Linked DNA regions of Tamandua tetradactyla. The protein of the gene in region 1 interacts with the protein of each later gene in a pairwise test. Links are inferred from orthologs where the notes say so. Each region holds a gene or a part of one and is shown in the gene's direction. Other genes may lie near its edges.

Region 1 (10,740 bases):
CCTTCAACATCCATTGTGTGGATATCGTAATAGCTGCTAGCAGGTCCTACTACCAAACCTTCCACAGTGTTGCCAGAATAACCTTTCTAAAACATAAATCCAATCATGATTATTTTGCTGCTTAAATCCATTCATCCAGAATAAAATATACACTCCTTAGCAGTGGCAGACAAGTGTCCTGACCTTTCCAACTTCACCTTCCATCACCCACCATCAGTCACATATTTCAGGCGTTTCAGACAAACCAACCTGCTTTGCCATTTTTCCAATGATCCATGCTCACTCATGCCTTTGCCAGGCTACTTGGTTTGCCTTACTCATCTTTCAAGATAAGGCTTCAACTAAGTTAACTATCCCTACAAAGCACTCCCATAGCAACCTCCACTTCTCCATACTTATCATATACAATTACAAATGCTTATTTTTTTGTGTGCCCTCCCCTAACTATAAGCTTCATTACGGGAGAGACCACATCTGTTTCATACATCACTGTATCGCCAGGACCTAGTATGGGGCCTGGCACACCAGGCATGAAACAAATACTTGAGTGACTGATGAAATAATAATACAAGTAATAATAGGAGCAGTAATAATAACGATAGAACAAGGAATAGCAACAGTAAGAGCAGCTAACATTTCATCAGTATTCACTGTGTGCCAGGCACGATTCTAAGTACTTTACATGTGTTAATTTTTTTTAATTCTCAAAGTACAATAATCCAAAAAATATTATTTCTACTCTACAAATAAACTGTGGTGCAGAAAGATTAAATAATATGCCCAAGGGTACATAGCCACTAAATGACAGAGTCAGAACCTGAACCCAGGCAATGATTCCAGAGCCTTGGTTCTTAGCCACTTCTCCATACCAATGCACAAATGACTCAGCTCAAGTGTCACCTTCTGTAGAAACCTCTCCTAACCATCCAATCTGAGTCTACTGTTTCTCTTCTGTATTCCAACACCCCTATATCATAGCACATATCACACTAGACCACGTGACTTAGTGTTTGTCTATTCCCATTATTCCATGGGCTCCTTACAGACAGGGACTTTGACTGAGCATTATTTTTCTTTGTATCCTCAGTGCCTAGCAAATGGTTAATAATAATACCAGTGACATTTGGGGATGGATGGATGAATAACCTGAGCTTAAGCATAAGAATTCATTCTCAAGTAGTCCAGCAGGTGGCAGAAGAAGAAAAGAGCTGAACAGAGGATGAGGCGCCTTACCTTTCACACTGGTCCCCTTCCTCATGACGGTTTCCTGATCTTGGCAAAGGGACACAGTCACTGTTGCTCCGGGTAGCCCATAGCCCCAGATCACTGCCCCAGCAGGCTCCTTCTGCAGCACCATGTAGTCACTGATGTATGAAGCAAAGCGAAAACCAACACCTAAAAATTTCAGCAAAATATTTAAAAAGGTATCGCTAGGAAATTCATCACCAAATGAATCAGGTGAAACAGCAAAGAGCATATAGCCTTTACACAAGAGAATTTGGATGTGCCCACTCCTTTTAATCATCTCAAACTAGATCTTATTCCTCCTAATTAGGTAAGCCGCATAACATGAAAAGACTCCAACAATATGCATCACAGAACAAAATGACCAATGACAAAAATTCAACGAACATAGGGCAACTAGCATACCAAATGCCTCTTTCCCTCGGCGCTCTCAATCTTCCTTTACTCTTAGGCCTGGCCCCAAATGCTTGATTCTCCCCCTGCCCAAATCACTCAAATGCTCCTTTTATGTGCCCTACAGATGGTGTTTATGAGGAAAATAAACCACTTCCTTCCCCTACTTTCTATTATCACTCCCACTCCAAGTAGCTGAGAATAAGGAAGCATGCCTCTCTCCAATACAGTCTTCTCTAATCTTTTTTTCCACTCTTTATTTCCCCCTTCTCCATCCTAAACCAGTGTTAATTTCCCTCAAATAATTCCCCTTGTTCTGGTTTCTTGATAATCCACTATACTGCACTGAAAATTTTAAATAAGCATTTATGAATGTCTGTGACAAATCTGCATCCTCCAAAGGTAAATTCAGATGAACAAAGATGCAAAATAAGGTCAGATATAGAAGATCAAAATGCCTGACCAAAGCTCTTTCATCCCAATTTTACCCATTTCTCAAGCTAAATTATACAAAAAAAACTAGAGAAAGCACACTTGAAATTGTGGATTCTATTCTAGAGATTCATTAGCAAGACTGAATAAGAATTCACTTTAACAAGAGCATTCCTATTTTTAACATCCAACCTATATCGAATCATTTGATTATAAGAAGCATTGATCCAAATTGTGTCAGTGAGTTCCTCATCAAAATTTAACAAGAAAAAGGAAATTTCTTAAATTGTATCCCAATTTGTCTGGACAAAACAGACAAATATCCCTAGAATAAAATAATTTAAAAAGATCTTTTAAGTGTCTTAACAATGACCAAAAAAAAAGACAGGAAAGAGAATTAGAATTAACGAGGTTGACATTGTCCTCCCTAGAAGTTACAAACGATGACAAACGATGAAGGCCCCTTAGGCTGTACTGAACAGGGCAGAGCAGCTACTGGAGTCTCTCCTACACATTCTTAGTGGCCTATTTATCCTGCCCTTTGAATAAGCCCAGTCCCCCAAATCCTCAACCCTTTCATATGAGCTAGTTTGATCATAAAACCTACATAACACTCAAAGATTGCCCAGAAGGTCTACTGGGCTGGAGAGGAACAGCTACCGTGAGCAAAAGGCTCCAAGAAGAGACAACACCCCAGAATTGCATAAGCACGTTGGCAGCCTGCTGTGGAGGAAGCAGGGAGACACGTGTGGGAGGCCCTTGTCTTGGGTAGGTGCTTCATATAGAACAAAAAATAAAAACCAAAGGCATAAGAGCTAAGGAGAGAGAAGGCGGGAGTAGGGGAGTGAAATGAGGAAAACTGGCTGCTGCTTGCATATGAACCTAGAACAAGCGAAGGGTTCCACAGGCATAAGGCCAGTGGCCCACAGGCCAGGAGTAAATACCTTTCCAAGTCAGTCTATTATCACCAACACCCACTTACTGAACTTCTCTGTGCAGGGCCCTATTCTGGGTTAAAGAATTTTAGAGGTGAAAAAGATCTTACACACCCTAAAACACAACTCTCAGGTTACTTACTGATCAAGAGACTGAGACCCTCATGTTGAATAAAATAAGCAAGACACAAAAAGCCAAATTTTGTATGATCTCATGAAATAATTAGAAAAGCAAACTTATAGTGTCAGACTCTAGAATACAAGTCACCAGTGGACAGGGTGGGGATAAGTAATAAGGAGTTAAGGCTTAAAATGTAGAGTTTCTATTTGGAAAAATGGAAAGGTTTGGGTAACAGATGGTGGTAATGGTGACACCACAATTGTGAACGTAATTTACAGCACTGAATTATATATTTGAGTGTGGATAAAGAGGAAATTTTAGGCCATATACATGTTACTAGAAAAAAGACAGTTAAAAATAATCTATGGAACAGCACAACACAAACAGTGAACCCTAAATTAAACCATGGACCATAGTTAATAGTACAATTATTAAAATGTGTATTCATCAAGTGTAACAAATGTTCCACACTAATGCAAGGTGTTAATAATAGGGTGGTATATGGGAACCCTGTACTTATGCATAATTTTTCTGTAAACCCACAATTTCTCTAATAAAAAAGAGAGCAAGTGAGATCCAAGAAGATCAAACAATTTTTTAAAATTACTAGGTAGCTAGTGTATCTGTTATATATGGGTGTACCTATATGCCAGGCACTATTTTAAGCACTGGGGACATAACAGTAGAAAAAAAAAAGATTAAAATCTTTGCCAGCAGGTAGCTTATAGTCTATTTGGGAAACTTACATGTGGCAGGAACAGTGCTAAACAGATGACAGACATTAAATTTATTCACCTAGCTAATTAATGAGGAGGCTAACAACTACCTAATTCCAAAGTTACTGTAATTCTCACTCCGCCACAATTTGATACTGATGGGAATACAGTCATATTCCCCGTCTTGGTAAAATTCCAAGCTAATAAGGATATACACTAGAACATTAGCAAGGAATTGAGCTATGAACCAAGTAGGAGATGGGAAGGATAGGGGCAGGGCTAAGGGCTAGTAATGGTTTTAGACACAGTTAACATTTGCTTTTTTTTTTAACACCTTCAATTTTTTCAATTGGAGGTTGGAGTAGAAAAATAGGAATTGATGTTGTGAGGAAGAGACCATTATTAAAAGTTGACTGACAAAATTAGTACTGTGTGACTTCTGACGGGGAGTTGGCAGATTGGGATGGGAAGGTACACTAAGCACATCTCAATTATACTGACAATGTTATAGTTCTTAAATTAGGTGGTGTATTCCTGGATGTTTGTCTTATTGTTTCGCCCTTGCATATGTTTTTGTATGACTCAATATTAAATGATAAAAATGCAATTACACATAAAGGGAAAATGTCAGAAAATGCAATCAAGGTAGAAGGAAAATTCAGAGCACTAATAAATGAAAAATACAATGTTAAGGAAGGTGATATAAGGACATGAAAAAAAAAGAAGATAAAATACTGATGTTAAAATTAACAGAAAAACTATTAGTTAGAATGGTGCACCTCTCCTCTTTACTTTCTCCCCACCTCATAAAATGGAATTCAAAGGTCACTGCTGGGGAGAGGAGTCAGGGAATGATATGCAGAGTGCTACACATTTGCACTTCTATTAAATCCAGAAAAAGCATTGTATGGGCTGATACGTTTGAAACTGGGTAGTTTTGCAGGTTCTTATGTAGAGCCGTGGTTATTTTTCTGCCCTCTATTCTCCTACTTCAATTTTCAATTCTGAAAAGACAATCTTTGGAGTCCACTCTGAGTGGTTTGAAGAGAAAGAATAGCTTTAGCGTTATCACTTTACTTTGTATGAAACAGAGTCCATCTCTGGTTTCTCCATTCTTGTTGCTCAGTGTCCAGCCTGCCTACTGCAAAAAGAGGGGTATTCAAAGGTAGGATCCTGCCTGAACAATAGCCCAATGCCAGTCACCCTCCTGCCCAATGCCGTGTACACTATCCCACCACCATTATCTGTAACCGTGCCAAAAATCAAAACAGAGCCTTAAATATTCTGAGGTAGTGAGGGGGTTGTATTTCTTAGCCCTAATCACCACTTAAACTAGTAAAATTTAATTCCCCCACAGAACCCAGCCTGAAGCAAACCCTCCCCAAGGGTACCACTGAGGAGGCAGCACTGAAATGTTTTGGATGATTCAGTCACCTGTTTCCAAATATTATCTAACTAGCTTCGCCCCCTCCACTCCGAGCTCCCCTGAAGTGATTCAAAGACTGAAGGCCTCGGTCTGGGCATCTTTGGGCCTCCCCTCACGCTGCCTCGGAAGGAGGACAACCTATAACGACCCAGCAAGGGAGAGGAGAAGGCAGAAGGGCTGGAGCTCCGGCCCACCAGGCACCAGCAGGCTAGGCCTGGGCCTGGGCGATCGCGGCTCCTGGCAGGGTTCCTGTCCCGACCTTGAGAAGGACGGGTCGAGATCCCGCAGAGGGCGCCGAATCTCAGAGCGGGCACAGGCGAAGGGGCAGGGGTTGGGCCGGGCCCGGCCGCCTCACCTGCACTGCTGCCGGCCCACAGGATTAATGGAAGCACCAGCCCAAGAAAAAATCCCGGCGCGACCATGTTCGCCAGGATCCGCCACCACCGGTGCTCTGGACCCGGAAGTGGACAGTGGGAGGGGGCGGGGCAAAGGTGGGTGGGGCAGAGGCGGGGCGACCTAACTCCACCCTTTCCAGGCCATTCAGTCCGCGAAGCTGCCCGCGGCCGCAGGGCGAGGCCGTGCCTTCCCCCCTCTCGGCCGCCGTAATTCCAGAAAACGGTTACCCAGCAACGAGCAAAAACAACTGGAACCATCCGCACCAGCTCTGAGAAAAAGAAGAGGTGAGGTGGTTTCTCCTACTTCCTCTCCAAAACCGAGACCTCGCTTCTCCCCCTCGTTTCTCCTATTCCTTCAAGACCCCGTACACATTCCTAGAAGTCTGCGGCAGATAGGAAGTCGAGACAGCCCATTCTGCAAGAGTCTAAATCCCAGATCCTCGATGTTCCGCCCTACTAGACCAGGTCTTCCCCTCTATCTGCCCCCCAAGCCCCACGTTCGTTCAGAGTCTCGCCAGTCCTTGTTTTCACAACCCTAGATTGGTTCAATACCTCATCTCCTGACCTCTCAAAGAAAGAAAAATCCCTCCACAGTTTGAGCCTCATTAAATCGCCTAATCCGCTACCTGGATGCCTATCCACGACCTCCGCCTTTACTAAGCATTAACACACACGCACCCACATACAAACTGACGAGATCCCTAAGTGTCTTTTTATGCTCAGTAACCCAGTCCGTTGCTTAGCAACTCCCCTTAATCTAGCCCTTATATTCCAAGACAGGAGGAGATGGCCTGGTCACAACAAAACCAGAGAATATAGAGGAATCTTTAGAGACTGGTATTTCAAAATCATGGCCTTGTGCCCCCTGCCCCATTCCAGAACATACAGAATGTTTAGAGGTTATAGATCACACTTCAGGAGAGGCAGCAAGGGAAAGATTAAGCGTGAATTTTCTTCATTCAACAAGTTAGAGAAATTTCTAGAACCTAGTTGCTACTTTATAAAAGAAATGTTTTATTTTAGATATAGTTATGTGTATAATTTCCTAAACAGGATCTTCTCAGTATTTTATAATGAATTCAATTAAACTAGCTTTTTAAAAATCATTCTCTCTAAATTCCTGTGAGATAGTAAAAATTATCCTCATCATTTAAGGAAAGAAACACTTTCCTTATCTTTTTATCTCTGAGGGACAGAGATTAAAAAAAGAGAGAGAGAGAGAAGTACTCAGTGTCACAGTGAAAATTTTCTGATTTTTGTAATTTTTTAAAAGTGCTTGGCCTATTAGATGTATTTGTAATATTATAATTTATAGTGGAGAATTCAAAACTCTTTGGAAGAAATTAATTGACTAGCATTGTACTGGAAAAAAATATATTGGAAGTCCAGAAAATTTGGTTGTCAGAAGTAATCTGTTGTCGTAGTTGTGATTATATAAAGTAAAACCAGGCAAATTTAAAGACAGTACTCTTTAATGAAATTCTAGGTACAATAGGCATTCCTTCCAAAGAGATGTCGATTCCATTCTCCAACACTCACTACCGAATTCCACAAGGATTTGGGAATCTTCTTGAAGGGCTGACACGCGAGATTCTGAGGGAGCAACCGGACAATATACCAGCTTTTGCAGCAGCATATTTTGAGAACCTTCTAGAGAAAAGAGAAAGTAAGCTTCTTAAATATAGGCTTTTTATTTTTAAAAAATTTCAAAGACTAAACATTTGTTTATGGTTAAACTTGCTTAGGACCCTCCCCATTTTACAGAAAACCTTTTTGAAGCCCATGGCTTCTAATAACAGTTCTTGCTATGTGAAACTTGCAATTTTGACAGTTTCTCTTAAATAAGTTTCATATAAATGAAGGTTGCCAACTTATTATCCAGACCTCTGTCATTGTATATCTCATGGACACACTGAGTGGAAGGGGAGTGCAAGAGTTAGGTATACAGTCTACCCTCCACTTTCCAGCAAACTGTTCCCTCTACATCCCAGGGAGTTCACTGTTTATTCTTCCTGGGAGGAGAATTTGTGGTTTTCTTTACATTTTTATTCTTCTTTGAAAGTGTTATAAGTGTGGTAAAAAAAAAATCATTCTAAGCTTTTTAGATAAAATAAATTGGTATTCACTGGGAGTGTTTGAAACTTCTACAATGAAAGGTACATAGGCAAATGCTTTCAAAGTGAATTGCCCAGTTTGGGAAGACAAATTATATTCTTCCTCTATAGTCTCAAGGTCCCATCCAGCCCAGAGGCTGAGATCCATGTTAACAATGACTCTGTGATTGAAAGAAAAAGCAGAATTCCTTCACTTCCATAAATAAAATTTCCAAATGCCCAGCCTTGAAGTCATTACTATTAGGACCTGATCCAGTGGTCAAGATGGGAATTATTATCTACAAATTTATACCAAAAACCTATTCTTGACTAGAGCATCCTTTCTCTATAAATTGTTGTCATCATTACTTTGGATTATATTATTCCAAAAGACTAGTAATGGTGACTACGATGACCATAAGCAAACATTCCATTTTAAATCATTTTATAAAGAAGAGAAACCTACCTGAAGTTTGAATTCAAAGAATTTCTCCCAAATACGCTGTACAGCTACACTCCCTTGCCTTGTTTTCCATACTCTCACAGGGCTCAGAATCTCTGCCAATTTCCTGAATGTTGCTGGACTTTTCCATACCCAGTCAGTGTGAATATTTGTTGCACAACCTGAAACTTAAATGTCCACTAAAAACATTTTGATAAATTATCCATAGGTGGAAAAGTTATTAACAGAAATATTTGGGGTAAGAGATGAACTGTATGGCACTTTAATTTAATTTTGTTATTATAACATCGGTTTCATGCAATAGAAGTCTTTAGTCATTTATTTAATTTTAGAACTCAGGAACATCCCATTACAAAACATTTGAGTCACTGTTATCAGATCATGGTAATTAAAGCAATTGGTGATTCAATTTAATGGTCTCGGAATATTAGCTCTCTACTAACAAACAATGGGGAAAACCATTTGAAAAATATTAAGCAGTATGCCCAATTCCACCCATGTCAACCAAAGGTGAGTTATTAGACTGATGCATACTAACAGAATTTAGCCTCTCCAAATAGAGAGGGAAAAATCAGATCCTCTAAGCAATTCTCCCACAAGATATAAGAATTCTGTTGCCAGAATTCCTAGTCTTAACTTTGATTTTTGTGACAGGAAACATGTTAGTATATGATATAAATGATATCTCCGATCAGTAGGGAAAAGACGGACTTTTCAATAAATGATAATAGGATAAAGATGCAAAAAGGTAAAATTGGATCAAATCTTTACACCATATACTGGGATAAATTCCAAATTGATCGGAGAGTTAAACATTAAAAAAATGAATCCATACAAATACTAGAAGAAAATATGAGTCAATTTTTCTGTAACTTAAGAAAAAAACTTTGCTAGTTAGGATTCAAAACTCCAGAAACAATTAGAAAAACAGTTGATAGAACTGACAGAAGTCAATTTTACATGGTAAAAATTGCTGTAAGGAAAATAAAATTGCAAATTAGAAACTGAGAAAAAATTTGCAATTTTTATCACATTGGATTAATAAACCTAATAAATAGCTTGTAAAAACAGTAAAGAAAAAGTCACAGCCTTATAGAAAAAAATCGGCTAGACATATGAGAAGCAGTTTACACAAAATAAATGCAAATTGTCCTTAACATATGAAAATATACTTAAACTAATAACATAAGTCCAAGTCAAAACTACACTGAGATACCATCCCAATCCCTCCATCAGATTGGCAAAGTCCAAAAATTTGTCAACATACTCTATAGGCAGGGCTGTGGGGAAACAAGCACTTATATATATCGCTGGACGAAATATAAAATAGTTCAACTCCTCTAGACAGGAACTTGGCAATATCTACCAAAATTTTACATGTATTTATCCTTTGACCCAGAAGTTCCACTTCTAGGCTATTTATTGCGTCATTATTTGTGGAAATAACCCAAATGTCCATCATAGGGGACTGATTAAATAAACTAGAGTGCATCTATGGAATGGAATAATATGCAGTTCTATAAAAGAATAAGGAAGGTTTCTATATCATGCTATGGAGTGATCTTCAGGATATATTAAATAAATAAAGCAAGGTAGGGAACGTGTGTTTTGTAGGCTACTATTTGTCTAACAAAGGGGTTGATATACATGGCTTTATATTTTTTAAATGGAAAGATAAATCATTAAAAAACTAGTGGTTGCTCTAGGGGAGATGGGATTAGGATTGAAGGGGTAGGATAGAAGAAGCTAGACTTCTCGGAATATATTTGAATATATTTTGAATTTGAAATCATATAAGTATTTAACATAGTTTATAAAATTAAATTTTAAAAGTTTCTAAAGATTATATGGAAATTGAAACAAATGAACATAACTAGTATTGAATGGCTGTCATAACCACAAAGAAAGGCATTATCCAAGTGACTTTATAACAATAATTTAACTATTTGTCCCTCGTGGATATATCCAAAAAGCAAAGTGAACTGAAAAAAATCTTAAACTATTTTCAGTGATCATAAGTATGGTTATTCTGAAATTATTTTTTTATGTATTATAGGACAAAGTAAATAAGTAACTATGCTTGTGTCATTAGGAATAAGATTTTAGTGTTAGAAAAGTGACATGCAGAAATGAAAAAAGTTAGAAAAATCCTATAATCCTAAATTTGAATAGGAAAATATCAGTATGACCTTATGATATATTTTCTCTTTTAAAAATAAAAGAAGTATTTTCTAGCTCTGTTAAAAGGCCTCAAAACAATCCCCAACCAAGTAGCAGTAAGCTCCCAACTCTAGACTATGATCTCTATATCCATTTTCCAGGAACATGAATTTCCCAGTTCAATGGAATTAGCATGAACTGGGCAAGAAATATAAAAGATAATGCTGAACATCTTACCAGACCAGAAAACACGGACATTGTCAAAGATTACTAGGGATGTTTCTAAAGGATTCAGTAGCATCTGAGCACTTGAATAAGCTCCCATGGGCCAAATTTGGGCAATGAGAGCGTCAGTAAGAAT
Region 2 (9,695 bases), on another chromosome or scaffold:
ATTCCACAGTACCCTCTGCAAACTTAGTTCTACCCACCCAACCTCTCACAGTTCCTAGAATTTATCTGCACAAAGCTTAATCTGGCCTCTGAAACCTGACTCACCTCCCAAGAGAACTCATTCACCTGGAACACTCTAGAGAAAACTTCTAAATCCCTTATATTTTAACCTGGCAGGTAGGGTCTGCATTCTCTTTGATCCCTAAGGCTTCTTTATCCATCATTATTCTTCCACCTTCAGTAAAAATATCACCTCCTTTGGAGACACCCTAAATCCTGCTATCATCCTGGTATCTTCAAAGTATAGTGTAGTTGGCCATTCAAGAGTAAGCATCATAGTTACTCATTGTGCTGGACATTGTTGGTTTCTTCCCCAGCGTCCTTTCCATCCCTCCCCGATTGGATTGACCCTTATTCAGGAATAGGCCCTGACTGGCCTAAGTGAATCAGAGTAACACCATCCTCCTTGCCACACGAGTGGGCAATGACCCATGCTTAAGCCCACCAGGGCATGATATTTCCTGGCCAGAGTGATTATTCAAGGGTGAATGGGTATATAAGTTGGTCCAGTCAAAGTGAAGTCTAGGAATTTATTCCAATGGTCAAGAGAAGCTTGCCTTCTTCCTCCTTATCACATGGTAACATAATACAAAATAAAATTTCCCACTTTACCCAGACATTTCAGTGGCATTAATTACTTCACAATGTTGTGCAACTATCACCACCATCCATTACCAAAAATTTTCCCTCACCCCAACAGAAGTTCCATCCATTGAACATCAAACTCCCCATTCTCCCTCTCTCCCCAGCCCCTGGTACTCTGCACTCCACTTTCTGACTCTGTGTATTTGCATTGTTATTGCATATAAATGAAATCATAACAGTATGCCCTTTTGTGTCTGGCTTATTTCACTCAACATATCTTCAAGTTTCATCAATGTTCATATACATGTATTCCTCACAAATGCCTGTGGTCACATGTATTAACTTCATTCTCTTTTATGGTTGAATAATATTCCATTGTACGCATATACCTCATCTTGTCTGTCCATTCATCTGTTTATGGACACTTGGGTTATTTCCATCTTTTGGCAATTGTGAAAAATGCTGAATGAAACTGATGTACAAATATTTTCTGAGTCCCTATTTCGGTTCTCTAGGGTATATACCTAGAAGTAGGATTGCCGGAACATATGGTAATTCTGTTTAACTTTCTGAGAGTTCACTAAATTGTTTTCAATAGAGGCTGTACCATTTTATATTCCCACCAACAAGGTATTTGTTGCATCCTCACCAACACTTATTTTCCGTTCTTAAAAAAATAATGTTCTGGGTGGGCCACGGTGGCTCAGCAGGTAAGAGTGCTTGCCTGCCATGCCCGAGAACCCGGGTTCGGTTCCCGGTGCCTGCCTATGTAAAAAAAAATAATTAAAAAAAATAATGTTCATCCTAGTGGGTGTGAAGTGCTATTTCACTGTAGTTTTGATTTGCATTTCTGTTATGACTAATAATAATATTGAACATATTTTCACATGCTTATTGGCCATTTGTATATTTTCTTTGGAGAAATGTCTATGCAAATCCTTGGCCTATTTCTTAATTGGGTTGTTTGTCTTTTTTATGTTTCTCTTCCTCTTGTGGTATAAGGATGTGATATCTGGAACTGTTACAGCCAAGCCATATCCGGCTCCAGGAGGGGAGCCAAGAAAGAAGCAGCTAACCTGAAGGAGGACATTAGCAAGAATATTAAAGAGAACGGATCCCTTTATTATGTCATGATCTGTGGATCAAACTGAACAAAAAGCCCACCCATCTCTTGATTTTTCATGAGCCAATAAATACCCTTTATCATTGAGCCAATTTGTTAATTTCTTTCTACCTGCAATTGGAAGAACCCTTAACAGGCTTTCTCCACAAATCGAATGGCCTTCATTTCCACTGCCCTTTCAACCACCCACTCCAATGGCCACCCATCCTAGGTCTAGTCTTCCTCTGCATCCCTTGTAGTGTTAATCTCAAATGCACTATTTTCTCCAACTACAACTCTTGAGCTCTCCAACTATCTCATTTCTTCAATCTCACTGAGACTCCTTCCCCTTAATGTCTTTCCATATTCTCTCAATCCAATAGCACCCTCCTCTATATTCATTCTTTCTTTATTTGGCCCGGACTAAATTTGTGGATTTACCTCCACAAATCTCCAACTCATTATAATATTCCGTCTGTCTTTCCCTGGCTCAATCATCCAGGTGACTACTTCTGGAAGAAGGAAATCACTACCTTTTGTATTGGCTCCATCACAAATTCATGATCTATCATTGCACCCAGCCTCCGTGTTGCTCAGCAAGTCCATGTGCCACACGCACAGAAGATAATTAGTAAATGCTTTTCAAATGAGTATTTTTGAATGGGTATCCAGTAAGCTATTCACAGTACCTGCTTCAAACCTTCCTTACTTTCTCAAGCCACCTCCTCCTATTTCCTCTCTTAGCAAATCAAACAACCTAACCTTCTACTTCAGGGTGAAAGTTAGAGTCCAAAACACAGGGAATTCTCTCACCTTAATCCCACCTATCTCCCTATTGACTTACTAGTATTGGTGCTCATCCTTGAGTCTTCTCATTTACCCAGATATCCACTTATTCTATGAATATGAGTGCTGAGAACATCCCAGGTACTGTGCTCTGCTTGGCCTTGGGAATACACCTGGAGACTAGGTGAAGGGCATAAACGACAAATGCCAACAGCCTGAGTAAAAAGGACATAGGATGCCTTTGAAGATATGAAAGCTAATAGGTGTGGCTGGTACTGATGGCTAATGATATCGAACATCTTTTCATGTGCTTACTGGCCATTCGTATATCTTCTTTGGAGAAATGTTTATTCAAGTCCTTTGCCCCTATTTTTATTGTGTCTGTCTTCATTGTTGAGTTGGGGTTCTTTATATATTCAGGCTATTAAACCCTTATTAGATATATGATTTACAAATATTTTTTCCTGTTCTATGGTTTGCCTTTTCACTCTCTTGATAGTGTCCTTTGACGCACAAGTTTTAAATTCTGATGAAGTTCAATTTACTTATTTTTTTCTTTTTTTATCTGTGTCCTCCAGGTTTTTCATGTATTACTTTCCTTTCAAGAGATGCCCTTTCACATGACTCCCACAGACTTCAGGGACGTGCCTGAAACTGTAGAGCTGTGTTTCAGTAGCCTTGATTCTTAAAGACAATTCTATAAGTATATAGCTTTTACACTGTGACTATGTGATTGTGAAAACCTTGTGTCTGATGCCCCTTTTTTCCAGGGTATGAACAAATGAGTAAAAAAATAAGGAAACATAAATAAACAAATAATAAGGGGGGGATAAGAGGTAAAAATAAAATTGGGTAGATTGAAATATTAGTGGTCACTGTGGGGGGTAAGGGGCATGGGATGTATGAGTTTTTTCTTTTTCTTTTTTTTTCTGGAGTGATGCAAATGTTCTAAAAATGATCATGGTGATGAATATACTATGTGATGATACTGTGAGCCATTGAGTGTATACTGTAGATGGACTGTACATATGTGAAAATTTCTCAATAAAAATATTTAAAAAGAAAGAGGTGCCCTTGCTAATTATGTTGAGATTAATATCACAATAAATATGCAACCACTAATCACCTGTAGGTGGGGAGGGAGGAGAGGAGAAAGAATAGGCATTTGTCACAGATAACCCACATGATGATGTCTAAATCACCTGTATCCAGTTAAAACTGTGTTCAGTCCAGTTTTGTTATTCATGTACAGGAAATGAAGACTAGTCCTCCAACCTGTTTGTGGGAAGGGTTTGCATCTTTTCTCCTTACACTACTTCTCAATAAGGCAGCCAGAAACACAAATAATTCAGCTGATGGCATAACCCCTCATTTTGCAAAGTGCCAAGTGTGGGCTACAGCTAGGAGAAAGGAGAAGAAAAAAATCAGATAAACCACATCTTCAAAATCAACTTCTCTGTGTGTTGCAAAAAAAAACGTGTAACGTGGCCCTTCCCCAAACAGTCTAGTAACTAAACAATTGTGAGAAACGTATTCTTTCATCCTATTTCTTCAAACCTACTAATCATGCATGGATATACAATGGGGGAAGATACTACCTACTTTTTATCTTGGCAAGATTAAATGAAATTTATTTTACCTAGACAAACACTGTGCCAAACCTGTTCTATTTTACAAATATTAGCATAACCCGATCATCTTAATAACCCAATGAGATTTCATTGTCCTCACTTTATAGATGGAGAAGTTGAGATACAGAGAGATAACCTGCCTGAGGTTATTAGCATGTGGCAAAAGGAAGATTTAAAAAAAAAAAAAAGAGGATTCAAATCTGAGCAGGCTGGCCTGAGTACTCATACTTTTAGCTTTTCTTATGCTGTGTCTCTGCGATAATTCAGTAGCTAAATGCGGTACCTGGTCTATGAAGGCCTGGAGGAACAGAATGGCTGCTAACATCACCATCATCATTGCTATTTCTGTTAATACAATCTACAATCCATTTTCTTTCCAAGAAGCTTTCCCCAACCATTGACCACAGAACGTCATTTAGAGCTCATAAAGTTCATCTGTGCCTCACACAACTAACTCCCTGCCTCCCATGGGATTCCTGAAATCCTTCAGTGACTGAAAAGGGAGCCCGACCGGGAAGGTTCTCTCCCTCACCCAGTACAGAGGCAGAGGAGACCCTCGATACATGACAAGCGGGAATGGGTGAAAATGTCTGGGGAGAATGAGTGAAGTCCAATGCTAGGCAGAGGTGTCACAGAATGAGGGGTGGAGAGCACAGCTGCACCCCAAAGAAGCGTCCGAAGAGCGGGAAAGTGGCACAGATGTGGCCGCAGGAAGAAGCTTCGACCTGGAAGAGACTGGACAACCTCTGAAGCAGGTGTTCGGGCTTAATTCCAAATTTTAAAGAACGATCAGCTTTTTAAAAAATAATACAACTTTGGAAACTACTGCTCAAAGTCACACAGCAACTCAGTGACCTCTGTTCTATCTCTACCAAACTACTAGTGGAAGACGAGACCGCAGCCACTCTCCCCGGGCCAGTAAGTGCTTCCTGTTATCTGACCTCCATCCCGCCTGCTGCAGCTTCACCATCTCGCCTGGTTCTGGGTCCTTCTCGCATCAGCAGCCCTGAAAAATATCCTCGCCCTCACTAAACGAGAAACTCACTAGAACCAAGGGGGCTATCCTGAGGGACCTCGCAGGATTTTAGGGAGAGGGGTGAAGTTCTTAATTGCTCACTGCCTTAAAGTTCCGGAATAAAAAGCGCGCTCGAAAAGCTCTGAGTCACCAACTGCCTTCAAAGGCCGGAAGCCACCGCCCCGCATCCGCTTCCACTTGGAGAGCCGCGTTTCCCCGAGCGGCGGACGCCCGCGGACTACAGCTCCCGGCATGCCCCGAGGCGGCCGGAATTAACCCTTCAGGGACCTGGCCGCGTTGCGCGCCGCCCCGTCCCCGCCCCCGTCCCTTCCTCGGACCCCGCTGGGTGAGTTTGCGCGGGCTGGGGCGGGGTCCCTTCCTTTATTTCAGACTTAGGGATGTGTGTGTACTCTCTAGAAGGAATGAGGCCTAATTTTCCTAAAATGGGACCACTTGCGGTTGCGAGCTTCAGAAGCTTTTTTTTTTTAACCACCCAGCATCAATTCTCTGAACCCCAGGGCCTAAATGGAATCACTGCTCTCTTTCCCTGAATGCTTCCTAAATCCTCCCATCCTTCCCCCAGGTCAAAAGTAGCCAGCAACCTGTCCCATCTACCAAACATCCCCAACTCCCACCCTTCCCCAGCGCCCCCAGCAAGGCTTGTGACCTGGCACCTGACTCAGGGCTTTTATTTCCCATCTGGTTGCGGGGTGAGTACTCTCTCTGGGAGCCCATAGAATTACTCCCCCACATCCTTTTGGATTAGAGAAGGTCATTGCCACCCAGAGCCAGCTCCCCACCCCCAGGTGCCACCACGGTCTCAGTGGGGTCGGCTCGCACCCCATAGGTTGCCCGACTTGAATGACCGTAGGCTTGTGAAAAAGGGTTCCTTCCTTGGCAGTAGCAGTGGCAAGTACCTGATCCTTGTCCCTACCTCCACCTCTAAAACAGTACTGGAAAGAGGAGACAAAGGCGGGGAAGAGATGCCGCACTCTCCTTACTGTTACCACTGTTTATATTGTGTACAGCTCCAGTTCTGGGCTAGGCGGTGGCCGGGGACTACAGGTGCTGGATGTTAGGCTGTGGGATCAGCTACATCCCCCCTCCCCCATGGTCAGAGGCGGGTGAAAGGATTGCTTGTTTTTTTTTTTCACTTTTCTCTGCCCCAGCCCCTATGTTAATTTACCCCAATTCACAATGCCCCCTGCCCTGCCTCAGCCTTCAAGAGTCTAAAGCTGCTACTCAAATAGTCAGGGGCCTAGGGGCCTGTAATGCCTGGATCCCCTTCTTTGGTACTGGCATGTATCCTGTCCTCACCCCGGAGGTTAACTCCCCTATCCTGGACAGTCTCTGGCTTCCTTTCCCTGCCCCCAAAGGGGACATTGTTTCAGCCAGTGTTTGGGGGGGGCGGGGGCAGTGGGCAGAGCCAGGAAGACCTTGGGGCAGGAGTCATGAACCTTAGCAGGCCAAGGGAGTGAGGGCAGACAGGCATATCTCTCCTCTACCTCACCCTGGCCACGGCCAACTGGCTCCCTGCCACTGCCCACCCCCCCCTTTGACATCCCAGACTCCCTGGCTATTTAAACAGAGATGGATGCCCCCATTGACACACTGTCCTTTGGCCACCGGACATCATGCCTCCCAAGAAGGATGTTCCCGTGAAGAAGCCACTGGGGCCCTCTTTCTCCAAACCTGCTGCCAAGCCAACAGCAGCCCCTCCAGCCAAGCCCGCAGCAGCAGCCCCTCCAGCCAAGCCCACAGCTGAGCCAGCTGTTCCCACTGCCCCTAAAAAACCCGAGGAGCCCCCCATCGACCTCTCCAAAGTGGTGGTGAGTCCTCAAAAAATGAGGATAGAATTTGGAGGGGGTGGTAAGAGGGTGGGATACAACCTAGGGGATTAGGGGGTATGTGGAAAGTACAAAATCAATGAGCACTGAGATGAGATTGGGGGTCCCCTTGGTCCCCTATTTGGAAGCATCCAGGCTCGTGTCTCTGCTTTTGTGTTTGCTGTTCTAATTTATAACAAGTGTGAATGTTTGTGTACATGTTGCATGCATGTGTGCATACACACATTCACTGATCCTCTGCTGGAGATGGGGACTTTTAGGATGGGAACATCTGGGTTCTAAGAATAGTCTCAAGGTGAAGGGAGATTGCTGCTGCTTGTCCCTGGCTTGCAGTTCAACTCAAAAGGCCATAGCTTTGAACCCTTGGAGGAGAGGCTGAAGAGGACAGGCTTGTTAGACAATCACAGCTGGGGGCAGGGGGTAAATTTAGCCTTTGTTCAGCCCCCAGTTATGTGAGGGATGCAGGGCTCAGGGCAGTGGAGGGAGGGGAACAGGTGGCATGGGATTAAGCCTGCTCCCAGGAAACCCTCCCCCCATAATTCCTCCTCTTGGGATTCTCCCAAGGCCCAGAGCCGGGAATGGGACTGAGGTAGTTGGGCTTCAAGCCTGTTCCCTTTGGGCCCCTCCCCAGAAGTGGCTGCCAGTTGGTTGGGAGGAGTGTTGGAGAGGGATTTATTAAACCCTGTCATCCCTCCTCACCTGCTCTTTTCTTCCACAGATCGAGTTTAACAAGGATCAGCTGGAGGGTGAGGAAAAACTGCCCCCTTAGCCCACTGTCTAGCCCCAAGCCCCTGCTGAGATACTCTCTCTATTCTCTTAACTCCAGTCCCGACCTTGAAGCCTCCCACACTAGTCGTCTTTGTGTCCCTTGTTCTGCCCAGCTCTAGCTCATAATTTCAGAACCTTCTTCGTGTCTGGTGATGGTAACTCCTGGTCAACACTGATCCTTCTCTATAACCTCAGAGTTCAAGGAGGCCTTTGAGCTGTTCGACCGAGTAGGGGATGGCAAGATCCAGTTCAGCCAGTGTGGCGATGTGATGAGGGCCCTAGGCCAGAACCCCACTAACGCCGAGGTGCTCAGGGTCCTGGGAAACCCCAAAAGTGATGGTGAGGGGATGCTTTGAACATTGTGGGGTTTTAAGTCGATGGTGGAAACCAGGAATGTTGATAATATGGCTGAGGATGCTGGGTGGGTCTCAGAACTTCAAACACAGGGGAAGAAAAACATCCTGAAATGTTAAACAGGGTGGAGAGGATCAAAGCCTTCCTGGTAGGGATGGGAGCTGGATCCCGATGACACCACAGTGACCTCTCTCTTACCTCGCCAGAGTTGAGGTCCCGGCGTGTGGACTTCGAGACTTTCCTACCCATGCTCCAGGCGGTGGCCAAGAACCGGGACCAAGGCACATATGAGGACTACTTAGAGGGGCTTCGAGTGTTTGACAAGGAGGGAAACGGCAAAGTCATGGGAGCAGAGCTCAGACACGTCCTCACCACCCTGGGTGAGGCAGAGATCATCTTTTGTGGGACGGAGAGGTTGGCCAAGTAGGCAGAGCCAGGAAGGGGCAGAATCTGAAGGGTTTCAAAGGCTAAAATGAGGGAGGATTGAAGATGCCTCCCAAAAGACAGAGGAAAGGGGATGAGATGGGAGACCTGAGTTTCCTTTTTGGAACAGATACATCTGCTCTGTGATCTGGATCAAGTCTCTTAACCCTCAGGAATTCAGTTTCCTGCTTATCAAAGCTTTCACCAGTCCCCGAGCACTTTGTTATTGGAAAGCAATACAGTAACAGATGCAAGGCACTGCCATTGCGGAAGGACGATTCCTTTGGGGATAGTTGCTGTGGGGAACTGGGTTGGTGAGAGAGGAAAGGCAGGGACTAAGACGCTGTGTCTGGGCTTCAGGAGAGAGGATGACTGAGGAGGAGGTGGAGACTGTTCTGGCAGGACATGAGGACAGCAACGGCTGCATCAACTATGAAGGTGAGGGGCCAGAGGGGAGCCCAGCCCACCATGTGGGTGGGGGAGGGGTGGTTAAGGTCTGGGTTATTTAAGGAACGGCTTCTGAAGCCCCTCTTGCCCACTGTCTCTGCAGCCTTCCTGAAGCACATCCTAAGCGTCTGAGCTTCCACAGGTAGGACAACCTCCCATCCCCACACTTGAGAAGCAAGTCTCCTTCCCCTCCCACAACCAGCGCAGAAAAGCAGGGAAGCGCGGTCTCCTGCCCTGTTGCTGCGCGTGCGCCAGGGCTTGGCAACTTTCTTCTTTTTCCACAGATCCCGTGGGGCCGAGCACTGGCCACCCCCGCATCCCCCGGCGGAAGCATGTTTCTGCCACTAGGAGGCCACCTATGTTTCCAAATAAAGAGACTGTTCCTCCCTTGGCCTCGGACTGTTGTTTTCTTTAGAGGTGGGGGAGGGAGGAACGGGAGGGCCCATTCTCTCCTTTCCAAAATCTGGTATCCTCTGATCGTTCTCCTGCTCGGAAGAGCAGATTCATTGCGCCCCACCCCCACCCACTTCCGCGGTTTCTGTGCCCCAGGTAGGGCTATTTTGGAGAAAGGAGCAGCCGCGGCCCTTCCACCTACCTCATCTGCATAAACCCAGGGCAGTGTTCCTATTGGCTAAGTCAACTAACGGTGACGTCATTGGGACGTACTAAGACTAGGGT
Region 3 (10,383 bases), on another chromosome or scaffold:
TTTGATAGGGATTGATTTAAATTTGTATATTGTTTTAGGCAGAATTGACATCTTAACACTATTAAGTCTCCCAATCCAGGAACATGGAATATCTTTTCACTTATTTAAGTCTTCTTTAATATCTTTCAATAGGACTTGTAGTTTTCTGTGTACAACTACTTTATATCCTTGGTTAAATTGGCCAGGTGGTAGTGTCCAGTTGTCTGGTCAGGCTACCACTGGCCTATTTGTCACATGAGGACATTTTGTGGACTTTAAACCATCAGCATATTGATTGCGTCTATGGCTGATTACATCTGCAGTTGGCTTAGGGCAGTGACTCTGGTGATGAGTGACATTTAATCTAATCTGTTGAAGGCTTTAAAGGAGAAGTCAGAAGAGAGAATCTCTCCATTTCAGCCAGCTAGCATCTCCTGGGAAATTCACAGAGCTTCATCACAGTTGCCAGTTTGTAATTTGGACTCATGCATCCCCACAGATGTATGAAACACTTTTATAAAAGTCATATTTATAGATATCTCCTATTGGTTCTGTTCCCCTAGACCTCTGTGACTACTCTGTAATAAATGGAATTGTGTTCTTGATTACTCAGATTGTTCACTGCTTTTGTATAGAAACATCACCGATTTCTGTGTATTACGCTTGTATTCTGCCACTTTGTTGAATTTGTCTATTATCTCTAGTAGCTTGTTCTGATTTCCATATATAAGGTCATGTCGTCTGCAAACAGGGATAATTTTACTTCCTTCTTTCCAATTTGGATTTTTGTTTTTAATTTTTCTTTGGTTATCACTTTCAATACAATAGCAGTGGTGGCAGCAGGCATCCTGTCTTGCTGCTGATTTTAGTGGGAAAGCTTTCAGTCTTTTTCCATTGCATATGATGTTCCCAATGGGTTTTTCACATATGCACTGCATCACGTTGAGGAAGTTACCTTTCTATCTCAATTTTTCTGAGTGTTTTTTTTAATCAAGAAAAGGTACCAGATTTTGTCAAATTCCTTTTCTGCATCATTTGAGATAATTTTTTTTTAATTGATTCTGTCCATGCAGGATATTGGATCGGCTTTCTTATGTTGCACTACTCTTGCATTTCTGTGATGTCTCATTTGATATGGTATATGTTTCTGTTTCCTTTGCTGCTCAAGCAAATACCATGAAATGGGTTGATTTGAACAGTGGGAATTTAACGGCTCATGGTTTTGAGGCTAAGAGACCTTCAAATTAAGGCCTCATCAAGGCAATGTTTTTTCCTTCAGACTGGCATTCTGGGCTGGCTGCCAGCAATCCTTGGTCCCTGGCTTATGCATAGCAGCCTCTCCTGGTCTCTCCATTCTCTCCCAGTTTTTATGGGCTCTCAACTTCTCACTGCTCCCTCTAGTATGGCCCACGGCTTAGACAGAAACCCACTGGAATCAGAAGCTGGAAGCAATGGAACTTGGAACAAGTTTCAAGACATCAGCCTTTTTTGAGCCAAGGTATCTTTCTCTGGATGCCTCAGTTTGGACATTTTTATGGCCTTAGAACTGTAAATTTGTAACTTAATAAATTCCCTTTTTAAAAGCCATTCCATTTCTGGTATATTGTATTCTGGAGGATTTAATAAATTAAAACCACCTGAGGCAAAATTGTAGTGCTCCCCCCCTGTCTTTTCAGCACATGCATCTTGCTCTGGACATGTGCTCAGTGCTCTAGGAATCCCTATGCACAAGGAAAACAATGTCTCAGTTCTCGAGGAAACGGGACGAGCTGCTGCACTGTATGTCCTACAGCTGGCACTCCTTTGCCCCAGGTAGCTGTGATCTGACCGCTCTCCTTCATAACTCCAGCGGATGCTCTGTGAGCCTCTTCTGGGTGCACAGCAAGTCCCTGGACTGTGAGCCTGTGACCCGCGTCCTGGCTCGGGCCTTCTGACTGCCCCAGCCAGACTAGCCCAGATGTCCGTGCACCCTAGCATGTCCACAAAGGTTACCCTGCTCCCTCCGCAGCAGAGACCAGGAGCGCATGGTAGGGCTGCATTACCGCTCTGGTCTGAGGGGATGGGGTGGGGGTGGGGTGCAGGAGCAAGGTTCCCAGGAGACCCTACCATTTTAGGTGGCGTTTCTTGGTTTAGTTCACCCTGTTACTGTAATCCACTACTATTTTCTGGGGCTTTGAGGAAAATGTTTCTATCGGTTGTACTTGTTCAAACCTTCTGTGGGGGAATGGGGTCCTGGGGCTTCTTACTTGCCGTCCTCACTTAGGCCTCCTTCATTGTGAAGTATTTCCCCACATTCACCCCCTCCTTTAACAGTGACTTTCTGAAGAGTTTAGTCCAATGACCTTATAGAACAGAGGACACTGGATTTGTGTGATTGTTCCCCCCGATATTTTTTTACTTGTTCCTTTGGCCCCTCTATTTCTGGTAAAGGGGGTGTTATTTTAAGCCTCGACCTGCTTCAGGTTAAATACTTTTGACAAGAAGACGTCACAGGAGGTGGTGCAGGTCGTCCCATGATGCTGTTGGATGACTTGCTTGACGTCGTGACCACCAGATTTACTCAGCCTTTATAAAGCTTTCTTCTCCACTCAGAAACTGGCAAGTACTTTGCTGAGTAACACTTGGGAAACTTATAAATATCTAGCTCCCATTAGCCTTTCACTTACTGATTTGAACATCCAGAGGTAATCTTTTCATGAATCAATTCCCAATTGCTCAGCAAAATAGTAATTTTCTAATTTTTCAGTTTTTTTCCTATTCATCATTTGACATTCTTCAGTAAAAAACAGCTTTTTTGTGGTTTATGCATTTATTTTCTGTACATTAATTACATTAATTCATTCAACAAACACTGAGCACTCAGTTTTTGCCAGGCACTGTGATAGATGCTGGGATAGAGACCTAAGTCCCCATCCTAGACCCCCCAGAACTCAGATTCCTTTGTAGGGCAGACACGTGAATAAGCAAATATATTGCAAGATGACAGCACTGTAATAAATATAATGAATGTTTGCTGAGCTCCCACTATGTGCCAGAAACCATCTGGGGCTGGGGATATAATTGCGTAAGCACTGGACTTGCAGTCAAGAACTTATACACAAGCATTGGGGGAAAAAGTTGAGTATTGATTGTAATTGGGGACAGAGGTGGGAAAATTTAACTTTGCCTGAGGTAGTCATGGAAGACTTCCCAGAGGAGGTGATGTTTGAGCTGATTCGTAACTACTGAATAGGTGTTTTTCAAGTGAAGGCATGGTGAGGTGGAAGACGTGGGGGGCTAGAGAAAGGGCTTTCTGGTCAGAGGAAACAAGCATTTGCAATGAATAAAAGCATTACTACATCTGAGAGAGAGGAAAGAGATGGAAAGGTCGGATCATAAAAGGACTTCTATACCTTGCTTAGGAGTTTGCATTTCATTCTGTTTAGACACTGGGCCTTCATGCAGAGGACTAACACTGGAAGTTAGTGTTTTAGAATGGTTATTCAATAGTAATGAGGAAAATGGATTTCTTGGGGGAGTGTGGGTATTTTAGTCTGCCAAAGCTGCCGGAACGCAACATACCAGAGATGGCTTGGCTTTTAATAAAAGGGGATTTATTTAGTTAAAAACATATAGTTCTTCAGAAGAAAGGCAGCTAACTTTCCACTGAGGTTCTTTCTTAGGTGGGAAGGCACAGGGTGATGTCTGCTGGCCTTCTCTCCAGGCCTCTGGGTTCCAACAACTTTCCCCGGGGTGATTCCTTTCCACATCTCCAAAGGCCTGTGCTGAGGTGAGGTATGCTGAGCTGCTTGGGCTGTGCTACCTTGTGCTCTCTCATTTAAGCTTCCAGCCAATTAAATCATATGTCATTCATTGCAGCAGGCACACCTCCTAGCCGACTACAGATGTAATCAGCAACAGATGAGCTTTACATGCCATTGGCTCATGTTCACAGCAACAGAACTAGGCACCTTCACCTGGCCAAGTTGACACCTGACCCTACCTACCACAGTGGGCAAGAATGTTGCTAGGGAAAAGTTAGGAGACTGATCCAATTACCTGAAAGGAAAATGATGAGTGCTTGAACTAAAATCATTGGCGTTGAGAATGGAGAAAAAGGGATGGAATTAAGAAAAACCTAGGAAATAGAATCTAGAGATCTGTAGCAAGTGAACTGGAGAAGAGTGGAATTCAGAGTGACTACTAGGCCTCTGAGTTCAGTTACTTGGTAGGTACAGTGCTGACGGTATTAACATAGATAAGGGCCATAGGAAATTGCCCAGCATGGTCCTTTGCTAATTTTTAGGTTACTGTTTGAAGAAGCCACCACTGTCCACAGTGTAGACTGAAAGCTTGTTGACTTGTGCAAGTCTTCTGAGGCTAGGAATACAGTCTTGGCACAACGACTTTGACAGAAGAGCCCTGAACCCCGTTTGTTTAAGTGACCAACCACATGTATCACTTTCTTTTCTTCTTTTTCTCATTTCATCTTTTTACACTTTTTCTTATTGTATAGTCTAACATATATAAAAAGCAAAGAAATAAAAAAGCAATTGTTTTCCAAGCACTCTTCAACAAGTGGTTACAGAACAGATCACAGAGGTTGTCATGGGCTACCATACGATCCTCTCACATTTTTCCTTCTAGCTGCTTTGGAATATAGGAGGCTAGAGGGCTTACATACTTTTTATCATCACAATCAACTTTTTAAAAAAACAGCTTTTGGGTGGGCCACAGCGGCTCAGTGCCAGAGTTCTCACTTGCCATGCTGGAGACCCGGGTTTGATTCCTGGTGCCTGCCCATGCAAAAACAAAAAATAACAGTTTTTCTTCACCAAATGCCATTCTTTCTAAGAAAAAGCAGAGTGAATGCTTTACCTTACTTTTAATCACCAATTTTCAGAGTAATGAGACTGAGTTTTTTCTGTCTTATTATTATTTTTTTGACTATCATTATGGACTCCAGGGATTTCATGTATTCACTGTTACAATACTTAGAATTGTCACTTTTTCTATGGTGCTCAAATTGTTCTCCATTTGCTCAAAGAGAGTAGTTTTAAGTTAGCGCCTATGTTTTGACAGTCCCCATTTATATTACTTTTTGGCACTATAAGATGTCCCAGGTTCCCTTGAATTTGCCTGCCCCAGGCACTTCTCAAAGGAGCCCTGTGAGGAGCAGCTCTTTCAGGCTTGGGCAACTCTAACGTCCCTGCAGTGACATGTTCTGGGTAAGAAGCTACAGTCATAATACCGACAGTGTACAACAATTGGCACTTGGGCTGATAACTCCACTGAGGTAGAGAATAAAACTTTCATATTCTTCCTGGAACACAATAATGCGGATTAACTTTTTGCAGCTTTTTGTCTATTGCGTTATTGCAGTTACTTATGTATCTGATTCTCATGTGCCTGCTTAGGTGATCAGCTCCTAGAGGAAAAGTTGTCTTAGGCACCCGCACAACCTCAACACCCGCTGTTCACAGGCGTGAAATCCGCGTTCGGGGACTGGTCTTCCTCTTCGTGAGCGCACAACTGCTCTGGGTGTGGAAGGCAGCCAGCGGCCTTGCTAGAATTCTGTTTAAAATCAGAGCCACCAGCTTTGTGACTTTCAGTCGATGGTCTCCACGCCAACCAGCCTGGTTTGCAGGGGCCTCCTTTGCTTACACCCGCTCTGGGGGGCATTCCTGGTAAGTGGGGTGGGAAGCCCCAAAAGGGTGCGCTTACCTTGCTGAGGGTCGCACCTCATTCTCCTGTCACATCGTTTCTTTCCACTTCAGACTGAGTCGCTGTCGCTCTGCTCCAGGCGGAAAAGGCTGAAGTGTTTCCTTTTTCTCCCGCTTAACTGGCATCAGTACTTTAATCTGCAAAAGCGAATGACTGGTTTCTATTTAATTTTTAAGCATAAAACCATTTTTTAAAATCCTCGCAGATTTTTTGTCACTATTTGGCTTATTTTTGCCAAGTAAATAAAATACAGTACAGTTCTTCAGGTCTCGTTCTGGTCCATCCAATCTTCCCAAGCATTTTTAAATCGTTTTCACAGCTCTTTGGCTCCCCAAGCACACGGATCCCCAGGGGTCCCGGGTTAGGGAACCATTCCAGCTCTGCCCGGACTCCCCTCCAGGCGGGGGCGGGAAACGCCGCGCCCAGGAAACGCCTGGTGCCAGGCTCCGGGGGCCGCGGGAGGGCACGCAGGCCACGCCAGGCCCACGGGAAGGCACGCGGGTCCCGGCGGCTCGCGGCTCCCGGCTCCGGCGGGCCAGGCCTCCGCCCCGTGCAGCGCGGCCCGCGGCGCGCCCGAACCCGGAACGGCGGGCCCCTTCCTTCCGGCCCCTTCCGGCCCGCGGCGCGCGCAGCCCCGAGGCGCGGCGGCCCGGCCCGGACATGCGGCTGCCCCCGTGGCTGGGCCTCGCCGCGCTCGGCTTCCCCGCGGCCCGCCCCCCGCTGCCGGCCGCCCGCAGCGCCGCGATCGTGGAGCGCGCCCGAGCCGGTGAGCGCGGGGCGGGCGGGGGCGGCTGCGCGCCGGGGCCGGGCCTGGGGGCGGGTGGCCCGGCGCGCCCGCAGCTCCGAGCGGAAGGCGCCCCACCCGGGCCCGGCGTGGGCTGGTCTCGCGCGGCCCGCCGCTTTCGCTCTTGCCCCCGGGTCTGGCCTCCCCGCGAGCCCCGCGGCGTGGCCTCCGGGGTGTTGGGGGTTCGGGGCCCGTCCGCCCAGCGTGGGCCGCGCGGGACCCAGCCCCAGGCGCGGAGGCGCGGAGGAGCCGAGGCAGCGCGCGGGCCGCGGACGGAGGCCTCGTGGGCGGTCACGGCCGTGTCCCCGCGCCCGCTGGCCCACGCGGCGCACAAGGAGGAAGTCTAACGTGTTTATGGAAGTCACTGTTTCCTTAAATCCCTTTTCAGATATTGCTGACTGACTTCAGTGCGTTTCCACCTGGGAGTGTGGGCGGTTTTCCTTCCCTTTTTGTGACACGGGTGGGTGGGTGAGTGGGTGGGTGGTCGCGCAGCTGTGCGCACCCGGGCCGAGCTGGCGCTGGGGCATCCCCTACCCTTGATTGTCTTGTCCTTTCTCCCAGAGGGACTGGAAGAGCGCATGCTTAATGAAGTAGTGTTTACTACCCGCCCGTGACGCGTGGATGTGCTTTTCCTCCGGTATCGTCCTGTCTTTGATGAAGTCATTGACTAAAGTGTGCATGTGTTTGGATAATAAGCATACATTTAAATGTGTGTTTTCATTGTATCGTTTCAATATCTGCATCTGTTGTTTTTCTTATAAATGTAATTCTTGTCCACTAAAATGTTTGTTATTCTATAACTTAAGAATAAAGTTATGGATAACTTAATAGAGCAAAGTGTATTTCAAGTTCTAGTCTCCCGTGGACTTTGATGTCAGAACTGCATCCAGGAGGTTAGTATTTTACTTAACAAGGTGGAAAATGATGAACAAGTCACCGTGTCCTTCTGTTTTTATTTCTATGTGACATGGGAGGGAGTGCCGCCTCTTCACCTCTGTGACATTGAGAGAATGTATGATGGGCTCAGGGGTGGCCACCAGCCTCGGCAGGTTGCCTGCTGGTGCGTGAAGCACCCCGTGGGTCACTGACCTTTCCCCAGTCACCCAGAAGTCAGCGTGAGAGCTGAGCAGGCGCCAGGCATTAGAGGGCCGAGGGACCCCGCATGTGAGCTGAGCAGGCGCCAGGTGTTGGGGGGCAGCGGGGACCCCCATGTGAGCTGAGCAGGCGCCAGGCGTTTGGGTGCAGAGGGCCAGGCCTGGAGCTGTGGCCGCGTGGGCTGCCCGGGAGAGGCTTGCAAGGTCCCCCTTCGGCTTTCCGAGCGCTGCGCCCTGGCAGGGGATTGCAAGCTCCCTGTGCTCACTGAGCTGGGGGTCTGTACAGTAGGGTGCTTGGTCCGGCGGGGAGGCCCCTGGGGAGGCCGCCACCCACCCCACGGCACAGGCCTGCCCTGATCCACCTTGAAAAGATCCAGCGTGGAACCGAGGTGTGCAGGAAGGCACAGGACACACGAGAAGCGTGCTTGCCAGCCTTGGCTGATGTGGCCTCACCTGCTGGGCTCCTAACACCTGCCAGCCGACCCGACTCCCACACGTTCTCATTTGATTGGCCTGGCTGCTGGTTCTGAGAGCGCCCAGGTGCCGCTGATGTGCAGCCAGGACTTGGGCTCCCTCACCCCGGCAGGGGCAGCTGGGAGCTGAGTGCCCCATGTGGGCGCACCCAACGTCTGCTTGCTGGCCCCCAGCGCCCAGGGCAGTGCGCCCTCCTCGCTGACCACCCTCCTCCTGTGTCCCAGGAGCTGCACAGCACATGCTCTCTAAACTTTTAATGATGGTTGAGCTCAAGATAAGCTATGAAGTTTAATATTAAAATATTTTTTTCATTGAAAAAAAAAAGACAATTTGTCATTCTATATGATTCATCTCCTTGCCCTCAAAGTGTGATGTTGGGGTACGGAAGTTTCCTTCCCTGTCCTGTTCCCACGGGAGAGGCGGACAGGTGAAAGCTGGCACTGAGATGGCAGTGTCCTGAGGTTCTGCGTTCTAGGATAACGCCGGGAAAAGCAAGCTGGATTTACTGCGTTCTGATTTCCATTCAGCCTTGTGCATGCTTGATACTGCACAAATATTCTTTTGTGGTTAGCTTTTTCCTTGAGATCAAACATAAGGTAATTACTTTATCAGGTTCACAGGGACGGTAAGGATCCTTTAGCATGTGACCCTAAGGTACAAAAAAGTATTGGTCTGTTAATAGTTTTGTTCTAGCATAAACTGCATTTTATAGTTTTAAATTTAAGCATAAACACCAGAAAGGAAACATTTATTTGTTCTCGTGTAGTTCAGTATTTGTGAGTTTACGAGCAGCCTCCCAGTAGGCTGGTGTTTGTTGAACGCCTGTGTGCCAGCCACTCTTCATGAATTTGAACTGTACTATAAACAGCAGCGTTGTTTATGGTGCTCTGTTGCTTTTTCCCATTGTTTGTTTTGGTATTGAAGTTGTCTAATTTATAAACAAAACCAGCAACAACTTTGTTTTTGTTCTTTTCTTTTATACAAAAGATAAAGGTACCTGTGTGTGTTTATGTGTGGGGGTATGGTGTGCGAAAGACAATAAAGCTGACTCAAACTGTGATAAAAATTTAGATTTTTTGGTGTATGCGTTGACTTTGACCTATCGTGAGAGTTATGTTGTATGCTGTAAACCATGGCCTCTATAGAATGCTTCTAGGTATTATATTTGAAAACGTAGGATTGACAGAATGAAATACATCACTTCTTTAATATTTTGAGTGGTAAATAAGAGTTTGCTTTGGTTTGTTAAGCTGCTGGAATGCTGTATGCCACAAATGGGTTGGCTTTTGTTTTTCGGTTGGCTACTATAAAAGAAATTTATTAAGTTGCAAGTTTACAGTTCTAAAGCCATAACAATGTCCAAACTAAGGCATCGGCCTCAAGAATGGCCCGTGGATCTGGAGCACCCTGCCAGCAGGGGGCACGTGGCCTCTGCCGGTCCCTTGGCTTCTGGTTTCAAACAGCTTCCCTGGGGCGTTTTCCTTGTGCAGCTGCAGACATCTGGGCCGCATGTTGGCTCCGAAGCTCTCTCCAAAATGTTTCCTCTTTTAAAGAACTCCAGTAAACGAATCAAGACCCACCTTGAATGGGTGGAGTCACATCTCCCTCTGATCACACGGTCGCACCCACACTGGGTGTGCCACATGCCGGGGAAACAGTCCAAAGTTTCCACCCCACTGTATTGATTCAGGATTAAAGGAACATGGCTGCCCACAAGAGTGGAGCAGGAAAAAGGACATGGCTTTCCTGGGTACACAACAGCTGCAAACCGCACAGTGTTTAATAAAAGCATAAAGTAAAATCACTGGAGTATCCCAGGGTTTTGTTCAGTCCTAGATCATTCAACATTTGTTTCTGCCAGCGCAGGCGTGGAGAGGTCCTGGGAGACCACTGATAATGAACTTTATCTGTTTAGACACAGACACCCCTTCCTTTAACTTTCTCCCTAGACTACTATTTTCCCACCCGTTATAAGGAACACAAAACCAAACAAAGCACCAAATGCAAAATGTGGTTTTAATGTTAGTGCCTGCCTGTGAGACGGAGCTATTAGGGAAACTGTAGAAGCTTTTCCTTCTTTAATCATTGAATTTCCAGAAGAGTGTGTTTAGAGCCATATATCTTTAACTGCATTTTCGGCGTTAAATGTAATGATGGAAAGAAGTTACTTAAATGGCTTTACTGAGGGGAAGATCAGAACTTACACAAATGAGAACCCATAAGTGAGGTGATATTGTTAAAAATAAACATGAAAGAAGACTAGCAAAATCTTGGTTTGTTTTCCAAAAGATTGAAAAAATTATAGTTTTTGAATTAAGAAACTACTGTAAAAATTTTTGAGAATTGCTG

What was found.
Region 2: the proteins of SPA17 (region 1) and MYL6B interact in binary tests that used the Homo sapiens proteins (3 or more experiments, as listed by UniProt). The two-hybrid records come from large-scale screens. The link is inferred for Tamandua tetradactyla from reciprocal best matches to the Homo sapiens genes SPA17 and MYL6B.
Region 3: the proteins of SPA17 (region 1) and AKAP7 interact in a two-hybrid assay, tested with the Homo sapiens proteins (3 studies listed by BioGRID and IntAct). The two-hybrid records come from large-scale screens. The link is inferred for Tamandua tetradactyla from reciprocal best matches to the Homo sapiens genes SPA17 and AKAP7.

Annotation. Positions count from the first base shown.
Region 1 is NC_135334.1:13,028,642-13,039,381, reverse strand, and holds the start of SPA17 (sperm surface protein Sp17), read left to right. Parts: upstream 1-5,961; 5' UTR 5,962-6,106; coding exon 6,107-6,128; intron 6,129-6,397; exon of another isoform or gene 6,398-6,500; intron 6,501-7,149; coding exon 7,150-7,329; intron 7,330-10,740. Other genes in the region: SIAE (sialate O-acetylesterase), read right to left, coding at 1,234-1,395, 5,624-5,690. UniProt on the Homo sapiens protein: Sperm surface zona pellucida binding protein. Helps to bind spermatozoa to the zona pellucida with high affinity. Might function in binding zona pellucida and carbohydrates.
Region 2 is NC_135333.1:123,209,805-123,219,499, forward strand, and holds MYL6B (myosin light chain 6B), read left to right. Parts: upstream 1-5,394; 5' UTR 5,395-5,524; intron 5,525-5,761; exon of another isoform or gene 5,762-5,888; intron 5,889-6,766; 5' UTR 6,767-6,812; coding exon 6,813-7,007; intron 7,008-7,743; coding exon 7,744-7,771; intron 7,772-7,988; coding exon 7,989-8,132; intron 8,133-8,353; coding exon 8,354-8,527; intron 8,528-8,930; coding exon 8,931-9,008; intron 9,009-9,120; coding exon 9,121-9,149; 3' UTR 9,150-9,159; intron 9,160-9,301; 3' UTR 9,302-9,408; downstream 9,409-9,695. UniProt on the Homo sapiens protein: Regulatory light chain of myosin. Does not bind calcium.
Region 3 is NC_135331.1:192,690,183-192,700,565, forward strand, and holds the start of AKAP7 (A-kinase anchoring protein 7), read left to right. Parts: upstream 1-6,399; 5' UTR 6,400-6,448; intron 6,449-10,383. UniProt on the Homo sapiens protein: Probably targets cAMP-dependent protein kinase (PKA) to the cellular membrane or cytoskeletal structures.